Linked DNA regions of Daphnia pulex. The protein of the gene in region 1 purifies or fractionates together with the protein of each later gene. This does not show direct contact. Links are inferred from orthologs where the notes say so. Each region holds a gene or a part of one and is shown on either strand. Other genes may lie near its edges.

Region 1 (5,365 bases):
GTGTACAGCGGCAAAAGTGAAAAGAGCGAACCTTTTCCATTATTTTACATAACAAAAACCAAGCGAAGTAAAAACAGTGGAAAGATTTTTGAAGGAAAATGCTCTTTTCTCTCCTTTTTCTCCACCCATCGACTGTAAATTTACGTTGTGTGCGGCAGTCAAGCTGTGTGGTGTGACCCCCACACACTCATTCGCTACGATACGTCACCAACTTTGTGGGTCCTTTTTTTGCGGATTTCTCCAAAACTTTCAACTCCTCGATTTCCTATTGTTTTTTTTTCTTTTTTCAGTTGTAGAACGCCGGTCCGCTTCGTAGATTTCCTTTATTGCTGACGCTACTTGGTTTATTTCAAATTCTTTGCTCTTTATCCCGTGGATTCTTCTCACACGGACCAATATTTTGTGAATTGTTTCTTTTTTCTCTTTAATTCTCACCAACTTCCTTTTGGACATTTGTCCCTTCTTTTCTTGTGTAGCTCTCCCCTTCCTACAATCCCTTGGTTTTTGCGTCAGTTATTTCCTGATTTTGGCTTTTATTTCGACCTTTATTATTAGAATGTATCCTTGTAAACGCTGGTGTTATGTATTGAAATTACGAAATGCTGTAAAAAATATCACTAGTGCTCTTTCCTCCCCTATCCCACCCCCCTTGTAAACATGATTCATGTACAAAAAAATCGTCCCCTCCAGAATTCGCTCTTCGACATCCCACATCCGCTTCCTTCCTCAAATCCTTTTTTTCTGGAAAATCAACGCTTCTCTCTTTCAATCTCTCCATCGAAAAGACAGTTTTCCTTTTTTTTAATATTAAATTCTGTGGTTGGAAAAAAGACAACACCTCCATATGTATTTCCGTAATAGCACACACTCTTTGTGCAACCGACTTTACCCTCTTTCATTTTTGAAAAAAAATACATCCCGAATATATGCGTTGGAATCTTTTCTTTTTGAATCTTATTCGATGGGCTGAAATAAATTGTGATTAAGACGAATAACTCAGGAAAATCAACAAAAATAGGTAAATGAAAAAAGGAGTGTATTTTTTTAAATTGGGCCAATTGCGCAAAATTTAACAAAGGCAGGGAGTGAAATCCGAGTATCGAAAACTAATCAGACGAGCTTTTGCTTTTACTTCTGTCCCTCTTTGAGCGCTTGGAGGAACGCTTATGAGAAGTGGGACTCCGACTCCGACTTTTACTGCCTCGGTGACGACGTCTACGATCACTACGGTCTCTTTCTCCTCGGTCACGATCACGATCTCTTTCCCGGTCACGGCCACTTACACGCTCTTTGTCCTTATCCGAGCGTCGATCCCTGTGTAAGTTGAACGAAATATATCAATTGCATTTTCAGAAGAAGCTCGTCAACGTTTGATTTTCCTCTTACCGTTTGTCGCGATCTCGGTCTCTATCGCGGTCACGATCCCTTTCTCTGTCTTTGCCTCGATCCTTTTCCACTTCTTTTTCTTTTTCTCGGTCGTCTTTAGGGGAGCGACTGCGCGAGCTACGGCGCCTTCGACTGCTGCTGCTTATCCTATTTGCAAGGAAGAGCTAATCAAATGCTGTACGGAGATCGAGTACCACTTATATACAGTACCGAGATTCTTCTCCAGGAACAGGAGGGGTCCCCAGGCTCTCTCTTCTTTGCTTTCCCGGTGGGTTCATTCCCATTGGTAGTGGTATTCCCATAGGTGGTGGTCCTCTCCAGTCCTAAGAGGAAAAAGTTATTTTTATTTTGTTTTGTTTTCTGTTATGGTCTTTAAAATCCTTACCGAAGATCCCCACTGTGAATCCTGAGTAGGTTCGTATTGGTAATAATCATCGCCAGGAGCTCCTGGGCCAGCCATGAACTCATTGGCGTAGGGATCAGGTACTATAGGTGGTGGTGGTAACATCATTGGTGGTGGAATTACTGGTGGCGGCATACCAAATGGAGGAGGTAGAGCCATATTTGGAAAACCAGGAGGAGGACGTGAGAAATCGATCGATACGGGAGGTTTCTCCACAGGAGCTTCAGGCTGATATTAAAATGAAATTTAAATAATAAACTTTAAAGTTTTTTGGTTGACTTTGGATGAATATTTTATTAAGGATACGGGGCCTTACCACTTCGGGAGGTTGCTCCTCCATAGAAGGAGCAGGTGAAACGCCTGATTCTGGTCGGCGTGAAGATAGATTCCCTCCACCAATGACATCAATGGCACCAGCCATTTTGCGTGCTGGCGGAGGGCCTGCTTTTTTCACAACCACTGACCCCGCATATTTTGAATTTTCGTTAACCACTGATATCGGAATCGCTTGGGCCGGGGTCGCCATCATCTGAATCAAAAAATAATAATATCGTCTTTGAGCTTCATTTGTTTACGTATTTTATTACCTTGGGTGGGGGTCCTAATCCAAGGCTAGCCGGAACACCAGCCCCAGACTCCATACGGGATCGCCTTTGTCTCTCACAATATGCTTGCCACGTTATTTCATTGAAACCGTAATTAAAATAATCAGTGATATCAGCACCAGGCTTCCTCCAAGGTTTATCTTCCAGCGAATCCAAACTAAATTCATGTGCTGGTACACCGTTAATCGCCATTGAGCCTTCGAACTCTTCCACAGTGAACTTAAGATAAGATACATATGTTAAAAACAAACTCTTGCATCAAACATGATGTAGCTCAATGTATACTTTGCTCTTTTCCCCCAATCCTTGTGCCGTTGTTCCAGCTGTTCCTCTTTTGACATTAAAACCAGCATAAGCTGCTGGGCCAGATTTTATGTCACCAATCGTGATTTGTACGTCATCATCACTTTCATCATCCTCATCGTCATCATTGTCTTGATCTTCATCTTGTCTCTCATCCTTTTCTTCGTTAGTCTCTGCAGCTTCTTCTGGATCTTTTACAATAGAAAATACAGGATGTTAAAACTGTTATGGGAAAACCAGACAAGCGATTCAACACAGGGAAAGAGACAAGGGATAATAGTTGAAGAACTTTTCCATAATTAAAAATGTACATGAAATTACCATAGCCTTCTCCAGCGTATTCCGTATTTCCGTCATTTCTGTCTATGGCAATATGATCTTCATTTTCGATTTCGTACATTTCTCCATTACCGGTGGTGTCTTGGTCGATTTTTCCATCATCGCCCTGAAAAAAAAAGAGACAAGTATCAATTTCAGTTGACGAACAATAATTTTTTTTTTAAACTCACGTATTCATCTGGTAACTGTTCCGAGGAATAAGGGAATTGTGAATTAGAATTATCTGCCTCATCTGGGTGCCGGACAGTGTCGGCCATATTCGGTTGTAAACAGCAGAAGACCCCACTTCAATTTAGGCCTGAGGGGACAAACAACAGCGAATGTACGCTTGTGGCTTGTCGGCTGTCGCTGTTTCACATCAAACGCAAAAATAAGGTATTTTTACTATAAAAACTTGTGATAATCCATTTTTATAATGATCTCGTTATATAAAAAGACGCTATTAGGGACAAAATTCAACTTTAATTTGGGTTAGACGTAAGTGTGCAACTTGGCAACACTTCACCCGGCAGACGTGCATTTACGTTTGGTTCGTAAATTTATTTGTTAAATTTTATTTGAGCCGAGTGGCTGCGAGAAAATTCATAAACAAAATGGATAAAAGTATAGGGAAGAAAACTGGAGACATTGTTTTGGTAATAATACATTGTTTTATATTGAAGTTGACTAATAGGTTTTAACAATATGTCTTCTGTCTTTAAAGTGTGAAGAAGATTTAGCGTATGAAGAGGAGATTCTACGGAACCCTTACTCTGTCAAACATTGGCTTCGCTATTGCGAGTTCAAAAAGGATGCCCCTCCTGTTGTTGTCAATTTGATTTATGAGAGAGCTTTGAAGGAAATGCCTGGCAGGTTCGTTTGATTGGTTCTTGTAGTAGTACATAGTAAATAAGTTTGTACTCATTTTCAACTATCCACATGTTTGTCTCTTCACAGTTACAAACTATGGTACAGTTATCTCTGCCTAAGAAGGAAGCAAACTAAAGGTCGCTGTATAACAGATCCACTGTATGAAGATGCCAACAATACTTTTGAAAGAGCATTGGTATTCATGCACAAGGTATCTTAAATGCCAATTATATTATTATCACACATTATTAAATACCATGTTTTTAATGAATACCATAGATGCCAAGGATTTGGATGGACTATTGCAAGTTTCTGACTCTTCAACAGAAGATTACCACTACGAGAAAGGTCTTTGACCGTGCTCTAAGAGCCTTGCCAATCACCCAGCATTCCAGAATTTGGCCCCTCTACTTGAAGTTTGTTAAAATGCATCCAATACCAGAAACAGCTGTTCGAGTTTTCCGTCGTTTTCTTAAACTATCGACCGAAGATGCAGAGGAATTTGTCGATTACTTAAAATCTATTGACAGACTTGATGAGGCAGCTGTTAAACTTGCCCAGATTGTGAACAAGGACAGCTTTGTTTCGAAGACAGGAAAATCAAACCACCAACTGTGGAATGAACTGTGCGAACTTAATTCGAAAAATCCCAAGCAAATTAAAAGTCTTAACGTGGATGCAATCATTCGAGGAGGTCTTCGACGGTGAGTGTCTGGAAAAAAATTAAATGCAAATATTTTTACAAACATAGGAATAATTTACTGGATTCTTATGTAGGTACACTGATCAACTTGGCCAGCTTTGGAATTCCCTTGCCGATTACTATATTAGAAGTGGTTTGTTTGAAAGAGCAAGAGATATTTACGAAGAAGCCATTCAGACAGTTACTACAGTACGAGACTTCACACAGGTAAAATACTTTGTGGTCGTCTTATTTAATGCGAATCAAGTTAACGTTTTTCTGATTTACGACAGGTGTTTGATGCCTATGCCCAGTTTGAAGAGTTGAATTTGAATCATATGATGGAAGAGATTGGTCAGAAACCTAATCCTACAGAAGACGATGATATTGAAGTTGAGTTGAGGATGGCCCGCTTTGAGGATTTAATGGATCGCCGGCCCTTGCTATTGAATTCTGTTCTTTTACGTCAAAACCCCCATAATGTCGCCGAGTGGCATAAACGAGTCCAGCTTTATGAGGGCAAACCTCATGAAGTTATCAATACTTTTACCGAGGCTGTCCAGACAGTCGATCCAAAGCAGGCCATTGGAAAGGTGCACACGCTGTGGGTCGACTTTGCCAAATTTTATGAGAAAAATGATCAGATTGACGATTCACGGATAGTTTTCGAAAAAGCTACGCATGTAAGTTGTTTTTGCAGTGCATTAAAAGCCTTTGATCCCCTCATCATTTTTGTGTCACTTTAAAGGTGAAATACGTGAAAGTTGATGAACTGGCGACTGTTTGGTGCGAGTGGGC
Region 2 (5,222 bases), on another chromosome or scaffold:
TGTAGAGCACAAAAGCCGATGGATTTCTCCCAAACACGATCGTCTGCCGACTGTAATAAATATCAATATCAAATATAATATACTAAACTCAGTACACTATAAGAAGAAAAAGGAAAGAAAGTTCTTTTTTTTTGTGAATGTGTATGTGTGTATATGTTTTTGTGCAAAAATAAAAAGAAAATAGATTCAAAATACAAGCGTGTGTGAAGCGACTTATAGCGTGCCTCAAATGTTTTTACTTTTATTTCGAATTATTTATTTATTTTTTTTTAGATTCCCGAATATATAATAAGCCGGATCAGCACATGAGCAAGTAAAACTACTACAACATGGTCCTGCTGGATATCGATAGATTTAGATTTGTGTTCGTGTCTGGCGCCAAGTGGACAAAACTGGGCAAATCCGCTTATATAAATATGGGGGGGGCTGGAAAATATTATCATCCGGAATCGGCTCTCTCCAACGTTTTGGAAATCTCTCTCTCTCCAAAAGGCAGCCAGAGAGATGACGTATGCGTGCTATACTGTATTATTCACTTTCAATGCTGTTGACAGTTTTGTTCACTTTTTCAAAGATTTGAAATTTCCTCGAAATTTCCAATCGATTTCGAACGTTCTTTTTGATAAAAACTTTTTTTTAACTTTTAATTTCCGGATGAGCGGATGATAGTGATCTCGTGTAGAAGGACAGGTGTGTTCACATCTATACGCCGCCATGACAACCGACTGACAGTCTTCTGGCACGAGGCATCTCCGGACGGACGGACGGCCGCGTTAAAGGCAGGTGAATTCGTAATAGTGGGAAACGGAACAGGTTCCTTCTTCTCCTTGTATATACGTCTATCCAATAGAGCAGCAAGTTTATTTATATACACGTTTATTCTGTCCGGAGGGATGTGCGCCAAGGTTCGATAAAGACGGCGATGACTCTCTCAAATCGGCCAGACAAATGTTATGCAATTAGAATCAGCCGAGAAATCCGCTCGCGGAGCCTGCGGTGCGATTGCTTGCTTGCACGCAACCGTGTGTCTGTGTGCAGGTGTGGGTGTGTGTGTGCGTTTGCACTAAGAAATTATGAAGACGCTTTGATATTTAATAGGAAAAAACTACCCACACTCGACACAGCTCCCACGTTCAATTGTTTTCCGTATCAGCGAATAATGTGCTGTCACGTAGGAAATGCGTTTCAATGTCTTGTTTTTTCGCTGGATATTTTTCGCCAAAATTTATTGTCAACTGCAGGGAGACAAACGTGAACTTTATAGCTTACACACACACATGTATATGTATACCTGGCCCACATATACCGTGCTCGATGCACTGGAGGTTCATAATCGTGATTCATGAAACAATCATGTTACATGCATCCTAGTAAAACTTCATGGAAACTCGGCCCAACCTATAGCTACACCGTGTGTGTGTACGAGCTTGACGAGTTACTGCAGAAAGACCAAATGGTGAAGTTGATATAATCAAAAGTTATAAAAGGAGAATCTTCTTGACATTTCACGAACGAACAGTTTGCCGGTCGCTTTTTGGGTCTACATTTTTACCTCATCTGGGATCGCTGCTTCTTTTAGACTCCGCCACTCTTGGCAGAGACTTGAAACCATCTCGTGTGTAGCTTTCGGTGCAGGTGCTTCATTCCCACGCATAATCATCGGTTATTTATGCCACCATTTCTCAAATCGAGTAGAGTTTCACGAATTTTAAAACCCGTGGACAAAAAAGTCGAGATTGAATAGTAAAAACGCCGTCAGTCCGTTAATATCTTAAATCATCGACCCCGAAAAAATATATCAAATTCTAAATGCCATAAAACTTCACGGCGTAGATTGCATAATTAATAAATGTATACTACGTAATATTTTTATGATTTTATCAAAGTAAAAAAGGCGAAAGCGGATGTGATGTGTCAACTCGCGGAGTGGACATAAAAGTTTACCTGGCAACAGCTTGTAGACCCAAGAAAAACAAAAGACAAAATGGCTAAACGTAAAAATGACGTACAGGTCCCGGCCGAAGAAAGTGATTTATTGGTTATTAGGCCATTGTAAATATAATGTCAATTGACTTTTAATTTGTATTTGGAAAATTCACGGGTGTTTTTTATTACATTACTTTTCAGGGGAGCCGGACAAGAAGTTGGTCGATCATGTATCATGCTCGAATTCAAGGGCAAGAAAATCATGGTAAACAAACGTGTTTTTGTTGTACAGAGTTGAATCGCCATTGAATGTGGGCATTTCATTGATTATGTTTTTCATTTTCTAGCTGGATTGTGGAATTCATCCAGGTTTATCGGGAATGGATGCACTGCCTTTCGTTGATTTGATTGAAGCAGATCAAATTGACTTGTTACTCATTTCACAGTGAGTTTTGGTTTTGTTTTCTTAAGTTTTATTGTCAATAGCTAATGTACAATTGTATTTTTCAATAGTTTCCATTTGGATCACTGTGGGGCACTTCCATGGTTTTTACAGAAAACAACATTCAAGGGACGGTGCTTCATGACACATGCCACAAAAGCAATTTACCGTTGGCTGCTCTCTGATTATATTAAAGTAAGAAAAAAAGGCATTTGAGTTTTAGTCGATGCAGTGCTCACAAGTAATATTTCCAACAGGTCAGCAACATTTCCACAGATCAAATGCTCTACACAGAGGCAGATCTGGAGGCATCCATGGAAAAGATTGAAGTTATCAACTTTCACGAAGAGAAGGATGTTGGTGGAGTTCGTTTCTGGGCTTACAACGCAGGCCATGTTCTGGGCGCCGCTATGTTCATGATTGAAATTGCCGGCGTGAAAGTGCTTTACACTGGGGACTTTTCCCGACAGGAAGACAGACATTTGATGGCCGCTGAGATTCCTACTGTTCGACCCGATATCCTAATCACCGTGAGTTAAGCTTGAAGTATTTCAAGGCGAAATATGTCCATGTGATAATCTGTTTTATTCTCGAAGGAATCCACTTACGGAACTCACATCCACGAGAAGCGCGAAGATCGAGAAAGCCGTTTCACAGGTCTGATCCACGAAATTGTCAATAGAGGTGGCAGATGTCTGATCCCGGTCTTTGCACTGGGTCGAGCACAAGAATTGCTTCTCATTCTAGGTATTAGGTATTAGAAGTAATTTTTTGCATAAGAAAACTTCCAATCAGTTTTAATTGGCTTTTAGATGAATATTGGAGCCTGCATCCCGAACTTCACGAGATTCCCATCTACTATGCCTCGTCGCTTGCACAAAAGTGTATGGCCGTGTACCAGGTACTAATCAAATTCAAAATCTCGCAGCGATCGCATCAAACTTTAATTGGTTCTCTATTCTTGCAGACTTATATCAATGCCATGAACGACAAAATTCGGCGGCAGATTGCCATCAATAATCCTTTCATCTTCAAGCACATCTCTAGTCTCAAGGTACAATAATATTTGAAATAACCTGTTATAAAATGGTCCTTTATTCAACGCAATGTATTGTCATTCCCCAGGGTATCGATCAGTTCGAAGACGTTGGCCCTTGTGTAATTATGGCCTCTCCCGGTATGATGCAGAGTGGTCTATCTCGCGAACTCTTCGAAGCTTGGTGCACAGATCCTAAAAACGGTTGCATCATCGCAGGTCAGTGGAAAGAAATGTTTTAATTTTTATATAATTAGTTGTTCACGTTTATTTTTGTTGTCGTAAAAGGGTACTGTGTTGAAGGAACATTGGCAAAACATGTTTTGTCAGAACCGGAAGATATTACCAGCATGGCTGGCCAGAAGCTACCAATGAAGCTTTCAGTTGACTACATTTCATTCTCCGCTCACACTGACTACCAACAGACCAGTGAATTTATTCGTTTGCTGAAGCCACCTCATGTCGTTTTGGTTCACGGCGAGGCCAACGAGATGAACCGACTCAAAGCGGCGCTCATCCGAGAGTATGAACATGATCCAGACACTCAAATCCGTATATACAATCCACGTAACACTGCGGCAGTAGAACTCCATTTCAAGGGCGAAAAAACGGCCAAAGTAATTTAAAAAATCGTAAAAGCGATTCACCCAATGAATTTTATTCTAACGCCTTGTTGTCTAGGTGATGGGATCTCTGGCGTTTGAAAAACCAGTCGAAGGCCAAATCATTTCTGGTGTCTTGGTCAAACGAAACTTCAAATACCAAATTGTGGCGCCGTCGGATATTTCGAGTACCAACAATTTTTATTCAAGTCTTAATTTCTATAACTTTAGTACCCAATTTTTTTGAATTGCAGAATACACAGACATGACTGTAAGCAGCGTAACTCAAAGGATGGGTATCCACTACAGCGGGAATCTGCAAACGTTACAAGCTGTCCTGTCTCACGTTTCGCCTGACGTCGAAGTTATCGAGAGCGACAAAGGACTAAAAACATTTCGCCTTTTCTCTGCCATTGATGTCATTGTTGATAAAACTCTGGTTACATTAGAAGTACGCATCTTAATGATTTGTGAAGACCACTTCTTTAATGTTTAATATTTGATTTGTTTAGTGGGCGGCTGATTCTGTGAACGACATGTTCGCTGACGCAGTGCTTTCAGCTATCTTAAAGTGCGAATCTCTTCAAGGTTCGAGGACGATTGTGCTACCCACGACTGTTGATCATGCCCGCTTCAAGGTACTAAATTTTATTTGTTTGAGAATAATATCGGTCTAAACGTGTGAATTTATATAGGAATGCTTGATAGAAATGCTTCAAGATATGTTTGGAGATGATGCGGTTCCAAAAATGTTCAAAGGAGATAAATTCATTGTTACCGTTGACGGAAAAAGAGCCAATATAGATCTCACAGCATTGGTAACGTCTAAAATTACCGTTTTCTTATAAAAATCTAAATTCTTTTTTATTAAAGGAGGTGGAATGTCCTGAAGATGTTGGATTTCAACAAGTGGTTCAAACGGCTGTACTTAAATTATATCAATCTTTGGCACCAAAAGCAGAAAAAGTAAAATAACTTGTATTGATATTTAATAATGGAAGAATAAACAACTGCTAAAGTATTTTTATAATCCATCCATATATTTTTTGCATTGTTACTGGATTGTGATTTCTTAAAAATCAAAGTCTTCGCACTAATATTGCCCCGCACGAAGTAACAACCGATTAATTCATGCCCTCAAGAAGAAGAGCTACTCCTTGACCACCACCAATACAAGCCGATCCGATAGCATATTTCAGTTTGCGACGTCTAATGA
Region 3 (5,399 bases), on another chromosome or scaffold:
CCAGTACGAATGGCTTTCTCTAACTCTGAATCGGCTTCGATGGACAGTATCGTGCCATCGATTATGACAGCTGTCGGAGTGGGAAGTTGAGTAACAGGCAACGACTGAGCCGTGTCGAGCAATTCTTGCAACTGCTCTGGATCATTAGCCGGTAGGCCGAACAGGGTCAGAGATGCGCGACCCAACTGTTCCATTCCAAAGGCAACGGGATCAACACCAAGGACGTGATCCTCTTCATCAGACAGTACACCCGATGCTGACGATAGGCTGGGAGTGGGTAAGATGGCTGGTTTCTTACTAGCACTGCTCTCATTCCATTGTGCCTGGAAGTGACGTGGAATTGGTTTGGCATACGGAACTTTCTTGATGGGTTTCACGTCTTGTGCTAATGGTTCCACATCCAGACCAGGAATCATGCCTGCGCTTAATAAACTGAGGCTACTCTGACCGAGTTGTCCGTCTCCGCCTTCTGCTTCCACTTTGTCTTCGGGTCCCATTCCTGGGATATTGGGAGCGTGATGGTCATCCAGCAACTCGGCGTCTTCGGGCATCACTCCAGGCGGTAACGTGTTGAGATTGTATTTGTCCCTCATCTTATCGCCGGGTCTGTTTCGTGTCCAGAACTTTGACGTGTGGTCATTCGAACCCGAACAGAGAATGTGTCCGATCGGATGCCAGGCAAGAGACCAAATGAGACTTTCATGAGCTTGATCGATAGCACCAACTTCTTTGTCCGTTCTATGTTTTCAAAGCAAAACAGAAAAAGAGTTAGGGTAAGGTTTGAAAAATACACGACTTAATAAACAAAATTACCCAACGTTCCAGAAGAATATAGCTCCGTCAGATCCACCGCTACAGAAAAGTTCTTCGTGAAATGGATGCCACGAAAGACAGGATGCTTCCTTCTTGTGACCGCGGAAAGTTTGCAATTCTTGATCAAGCCGACGGATGTCAAATAGCTTGATCAAATGATCTCTGGAAGCGGTGATGAGCCACTGGCCGTTCTTGTTCCATTTTGCGTCCATAACTGTGCTTTTATGGGCGTGCAGCGTAGCTAATGATTGACCAGATTTGGGATCCCACAGTTTGACTGGTTGCTGGTTGTCTTTGCTGCCTGAAATGACTAGACCCTTTTGCGGGTGCCAATCGACGCATTTGACATCAGCTCCGTGCCCTAATGGAAACAATTGATGGACATGAAGTAGGCTTGCAGAAAAAACAAAACAATTAGTTGGGTACCTCGAAGAATTTTTTCCTCCTGACAGCGGACAAAATCCCATATTCGCACAGTTCCATCGTCGGAGCAAGAGGCCAATTTTTGATCCGTTGGACTAAAACTGGATACACAAAAACGTGGAGGGTCTTTAATTGTAATTGAATACCCTTAAAATGGTTTTATAATCGTCAAGGTAGATTAATTGAAAATGTTGACTTTGTGGATAAAAGAAGTTTAATTGGGGTAGAAAAGTATGGGTCATTTGAAAAGTTAACCGTAAGTCCCGACAAGTATTTCGATCTCGTATACGCCTATTGCAATTAGGCAATATCGGGTGCGCAGAGTTTCATAAACGAATCGTATAAAATGTTTTACTTCAAAATCGTATAGAGGGTTGAAAAAGAAGTCTCTTTTATTTTCCTCAGTTGCATCTATCACAGATCAGTTGTTCTTGGTATGTAGGATTTTCTTTTTTTTTCTCTTTTACTTTCAAGCGTACTTGTATTATTGGGCAATGAGCATTTATAGAAGAAAAGATTGGGAAAAGTTCGGAGGTTATACGTATCACAGCAATGAAATTTGATTTTTATTTTGGTTTGGTTTTGGTTTCAATACCTGATGCCCCGAATGGCTTCTTTGTGAGCTTGAAACATCTTGACGTTATTCATATTTGACTGCCAGTATTTGATGTAGCCGCCATGGTCCCCCGTCACCATCCAGATATCGTTGTGGGACCATACCATGCTACGGACCGGACTGTCGTGAGCCTATTTAAAGGGTAAGAAGGATTAGATTAATAATTACTCGTTACCGTGTTATTTCTTAGGAGTACTATTTACGGATTTTTCATACCTGTAAAATAGTTTCAAAATTGAACGTCAGGCCGTTCCACAGGGTAAACTCGCCGCTTGATGCCCCTGTGATTAAACGACGGCCTTCAGGAGTCCAAGTAAGGCAAAATACTGGACAACGAATTTTATTTGTTGCCACCTTTCGAGGTAAATTCAAAGAAAAAAAAAGATAAATAGAATAATTCAAAATCGGGCTTTCCATCTATAATGCATTACTTTAGTAAAACGTGTTGTTATGGCATTGCTGGGCGTATCCAAATAGCAAGAGGGAGGAACCATTTCTGGATAATAACACACGTCGGGTTGAAGACTTCGCCTGTCTCTGGCGTCCCGCTGCCAGACTCTTGTCTAAATTTAAGTCAAGATAATACTATATAAATACAAATTGTATTTGATAAAACTCTGAACATATAAATTAAAGGAAATATTAAAAATATAAACATGTTCTAACTACAAGAGAAGAAAGGCAATCCTTGTATTTACAAGCTTCTCAATTTACCTCTAGCATACGAATCACTGAAGAGTAATAATCTACAGTTTTGCGCATTGAGCTCTTGCGCAACTGTTTGGAATCATAGTCTGACCGATCTTGGCCAGGCTTAGGGTATGGTCTATTGAAGGGATGAAACATGTGGCGACCAGGTGGAATTGGTGGTCTCAATGGTTCACTTCCTGGAACAATCCTAGGTAATCCTGCTCCAAGGAAAGAATTATTTCCTGCATTTGCAGGGCTCTGGCTGGGGCCAGTGGCATGCCTCGATTGAAATGGTGACTGATTCATGCCATTGGCACCAGGATAATATGCCATTTGGGTTGCCATTTTTCTGATAATAATTAGTTAAATAGCTGAAAAAAAGACAATAAAAAATTTTAGTTAATTGAAGAACAAGTTTATGTAAACATGAGAGAAACCGTTATGTGCACACCGCACGTCAACTACTTGTTTCGTCAGAAAATGAAAACGCCCAATTTCCACAGATTTTAAGTGAAATAAGTACTTAAAAATTTACATTTAAATTTTCGATCAATGCCGACAATCGGCGCTGATGATATAAGTCTGTAAATCCCCGATAAAAAATGCACTCACCTAAAATGTTCAAGAGATGTTCTGTTGCCTGCTCAGCGCCATTTTGCAATGTTTGGCTGCGGCATAAGGCATTGCCTAGTTGCCATATCAAACGTAGGTATCTCTCGATCCGACAGAAAGAAGAAAACAATAAAATTCAAATATTCGATTGATTGAAATTATCAATCAATAAACCAAATTTTAAAAAATATAAATAATTTAAATAATTCTGGGAAAAGTATAATTTGATAACGATAAAAAATTTAATAATAACAAAAAATTCACAAATTTTACGTTGAAATAGCGCTGAAGAATGGTTCGTAATCGGTAATCGTTGAAACTTGAAAGGAAAAAACTCAAAAAAGAAAAGAAGGGATTGCGTGTTATCCTTTTTGGTACTATATAATAAACCGACGGTATGTTTACGGTCTCGATACTCTCGAAGAACAAATATAATGTTATATCATTTTTTCTGATTCTATTTATGTTAGATCAGATCTATTATCCGTTTTTTTTTATTACAACAACGAGTTAGAAAAATGTGATAACGTGTATCGAGATTGGACATAGCACTATTGATAATCAATACCTGTTCACCTCAACAATCCAAACAAAGGTGACCAGACGAGTTTCTAAAGTCAACTCGTTATCCTGTATCTTTTTATTTTTATTTTTATTTTTCGTGCAAGTCGTGCGGTTCGAAGACGAATTGTAATCCCGACACAAAACTGAAACACCTTAAACAGGAAATCAGTTCGACAAAATTTAACGGTTTATTTGAATTATGTACATAACAGTTCCATGCCAAGAGAAAGTTTGAGCTAATTCACACAGCAATTAGCTCAAAGAAACGCTTTTACTCTTTTTAGGGAAAAGTGTTGTTAATAAATATACGTATTTATACAATATTTACAGAAGTTGTTAGGCTGGATATTACAGTAACACCAGCTTCATCTGTCCACTCGTTATAGATTTTACTCACGCAGTTTCCGTTTCATATCTAAGCGGTAAACGAACTTCGTCGTTGTCAGATCTATAAATGTCTGAAATGTTGTTCGCTCCTGTATCGGAATCCAAATTGATGGTACAGGATTCCTCTGGTTTGTCGCCTTTTACAAGATGATAGTCATTTAGCAGTGAAGGTTGCACGATGACGTAGCTATTTCTGACAAGCTGTTCGTAGCTGGGCGGTAGGTCCGTTTTGATTTCTTTATTCTGCTTCAGCCAGAGAACGGAAGGTTATCAAAGTTATCCAATTAGAAATTATGTTTCATTATGCTTACGCGTCTGAGGAGATGCGCAAAAAAGCAGCAGTAACAAAAGGTTCCCAGTAGCATGACAACACCAAGCGTGAATAAGATAAACGCGCTTTGAGCAATCCATTCCGGCACTGTGTTGGTTGATTGCTGCTGTTTTCTGAATTGATCACTTTCTTGTTCCGGCAGATTTTTTTTGGCATTCGTATTTTGAGGCGCAAACTTTAAGGGAGCATTTAAGTTTACTAATGCTGCTGGGCTTTTGGTTTTTACGACTAAAATCGAATAGAAAAACGGGTAAATTTAAACAATCGAATTTAAAAAAATTGTTTGTTAAAGAAACACTAACCTTTTCTAGTAGAAGGAATGTCTTCTACAAATCGTTTCGGGTTCACAATAGCACCCGTTACATCCAATAAAGTTTGGAAGAAAGTCATGTTGCTTTGTAAATCATGTAACCAATCAATCGACATCTATAACAATTAGAGAACACACAACTTAGACTCGTTTTAAATGAGCATTAAAGACATCTATTAATTTTTACCGAGTACATTCTGTTGTATTCCTTTTGAGCATCCGTACAGCCTTCGAAGCATGCAGTTTTCTTTTCCATTTCATTGCCATATGCCTCGGAGCAAGCTTATAAGAGAATATTTAAAATAAGACGAGTTGTTTAATTGGTCATTATAAGTAACACCACTTACATTGATGGCAGCTCAGAAGTGCAGCCGCGTCGTCAAACTTCGCGAACACGGAAGCTGTGTTAAAGGTCTCAAAGAAACGGCAGCCACGTTGACAATCAGAACTGAAAAGTTCCTGTTCGGATTACACAGTTTTAAAAAAAATTACATAAATAAATTGTATTTTGAAATGTTTATACAGGTTTTTTATCTTAGTTTTTTTATCTCACGCTCATGCGAATTATAAATAATTGTTAGTGCGTCTTGTTATCCTTTAAGTCGTTCAAGGATTAAAAGAGAAAGTAAAGTTATTTTACCTCAGAAGTATCG

Evidence for each region.
Region 2: the proteins of pre-mRNA 3'-end-processing factor FIP1-like (region 1) and cleavage and polyadenylation specificity factor 73-like purify together in Homo sapiens (affinity purification with mass spectrometry; 5 studies listed by BioGRID and IntAct, with this or other methods). This does not show direct contact. The link is inferred for Daphnia pulex from reciprocal best matches to the Homo sapiens genes FIP1L1 and CPSF3.
Region 3: the proteins of pre-mRNA 3'-end-processing factor FIP1-like (region 1) and pre-mRNA 3' end processing protein WDR33-like purify together in Homo sapiens (affinity purification with mass spectrometry; 5 studies listed by BioGRID and IntAct, with this or other methods). This does not show direct contact. The link is inferred for Daphnia pulex from reciprocal best matches to the Homo sapiens genes FIP1L1 and WDR33.

What each region holds. Positions count from the first base shown.
Region 1 is NC_060020.1:2,901,100-2,906,464, forward strand, and holds pre-mRNA 3'-end-processing factor FIP1-like, read right to left. Parts: upstream 3,367-5,365; 5' UTR 3,294-3,366; coding exon 3,207-3,293; intron 3,143-3,206; coding exon 3,019-3,142; intron 2,889-3,018; coding exon 2,680-2,888; intron 2,614-2,679; coding exon 2,377-2,613; intron 2,319-2,376; coding exon 2,106-2,318; intron 2,018-2,105; coding exon 1,772-2,017; intron 1,710-1,771; coding exon 1,597-1,709; intron 1,534-1,596; coding exon 1,387-1,533; intron 1,315-1,386; coding exon 1,107-1,314; 3' UTR 1,020-1,106; downstream 1-1,019. Other genes in the region: pre-mRNA-splicing factor syf1 homolog, read left to right, coding at 3,630-3,671, 3,740-3,888, 3,973-4,096, 4,165-4,589, 4,663-4,795, 4,861-5,250, 5,316-5,365.
Region 2 is NC_060024.1:9,772,074-9,777,295, forward strand, and holds cleavage and polyadenylation specificity factor 73-like, read left to right. Parts: upstream 1-1,917; 5' UTR 1,918-1,984; coding exon 1,985-2,052; intron 2,053-2,127; coding exon 2,128-2,191; intron 2,192-2,273; coding exon 2,274-2,371; intron 2,372-2,439; coding exon 2,440-2,563; intron 2,564-2,625; coding exon 2,626-2,898; intron 2,899-2,964; coding exon 2,965-3,115; intron 3,116-3,180; coding exon 3,181-3,269; intron 3,270-3,335; coding exon 3,336-3,422; intron 3,423-3,493; coding exon 3,494-3,623; intron 3,624-3,692; coding exon 3,693-4,021; intron 4,022-4,085; coding exon 4,086-4,194; intron 4,195-4,260; coding exon 4,261-4,457; intron 4,458-4,518; coding exon 4,519-4,644; intron 4,645-4,701; coding exon 4,702-4,824; intron 4,825-4,879; coding exon 4,880-4,981; 3' UTR 4,982-5,027; downstream 5,028-5,222. Other genes in the region: 3-ketoacyl-CoA thiolase, mitochondrial-like, read right to left, coding at 5,131-5,215. UniProt on the Homo sapiens protein: Component of the cleavage and polyadenylation specificity factor (CPSF) complex that plays a key role in pre-mRNA 3'-end formation, recognizing the AAUAAA signal sequence and interacting with poly(A) polymerase and other factors to bring about cleavage and poly(A) addition.
Region 3 is NC_060018.1:837,501-842,899, forward strand, and holds the start of pre-mRNA 3' end processing protein WDR33-like, read right to left. Parts: upstream 3,306-5,399; 5' UTR 3,155-3,305; exon of another isoform or gene 2,980-3,154; intron 2,914-2,979; 5' UTR 2,888-2,913; coding exon 2,567-2,887; intron 2,416-2,566; coding exon 2,284-2,415; intron 2,207-2,283; coding exon 2,069-2,206; intron 1,984-2,068; coding exon 1,832-1,983; intron 1,338-1,831; coding exon 1,240-1,337; intron 1,175-1,239; coding exon 814-1,174; intron 739-813; coding exon 1-738. Other genes in the region: uncharacterized protein LOC124188867, read right to left, coding at 4,112-4,351, 4,417-4,664, 4,739-4,862, 4,934-5,028, 5,094-5,205, 5,387-5,399. UniProt on the Homo sapiens protein: Essential for both cleavage and polyadenylation of pre-mRNA 3' ends.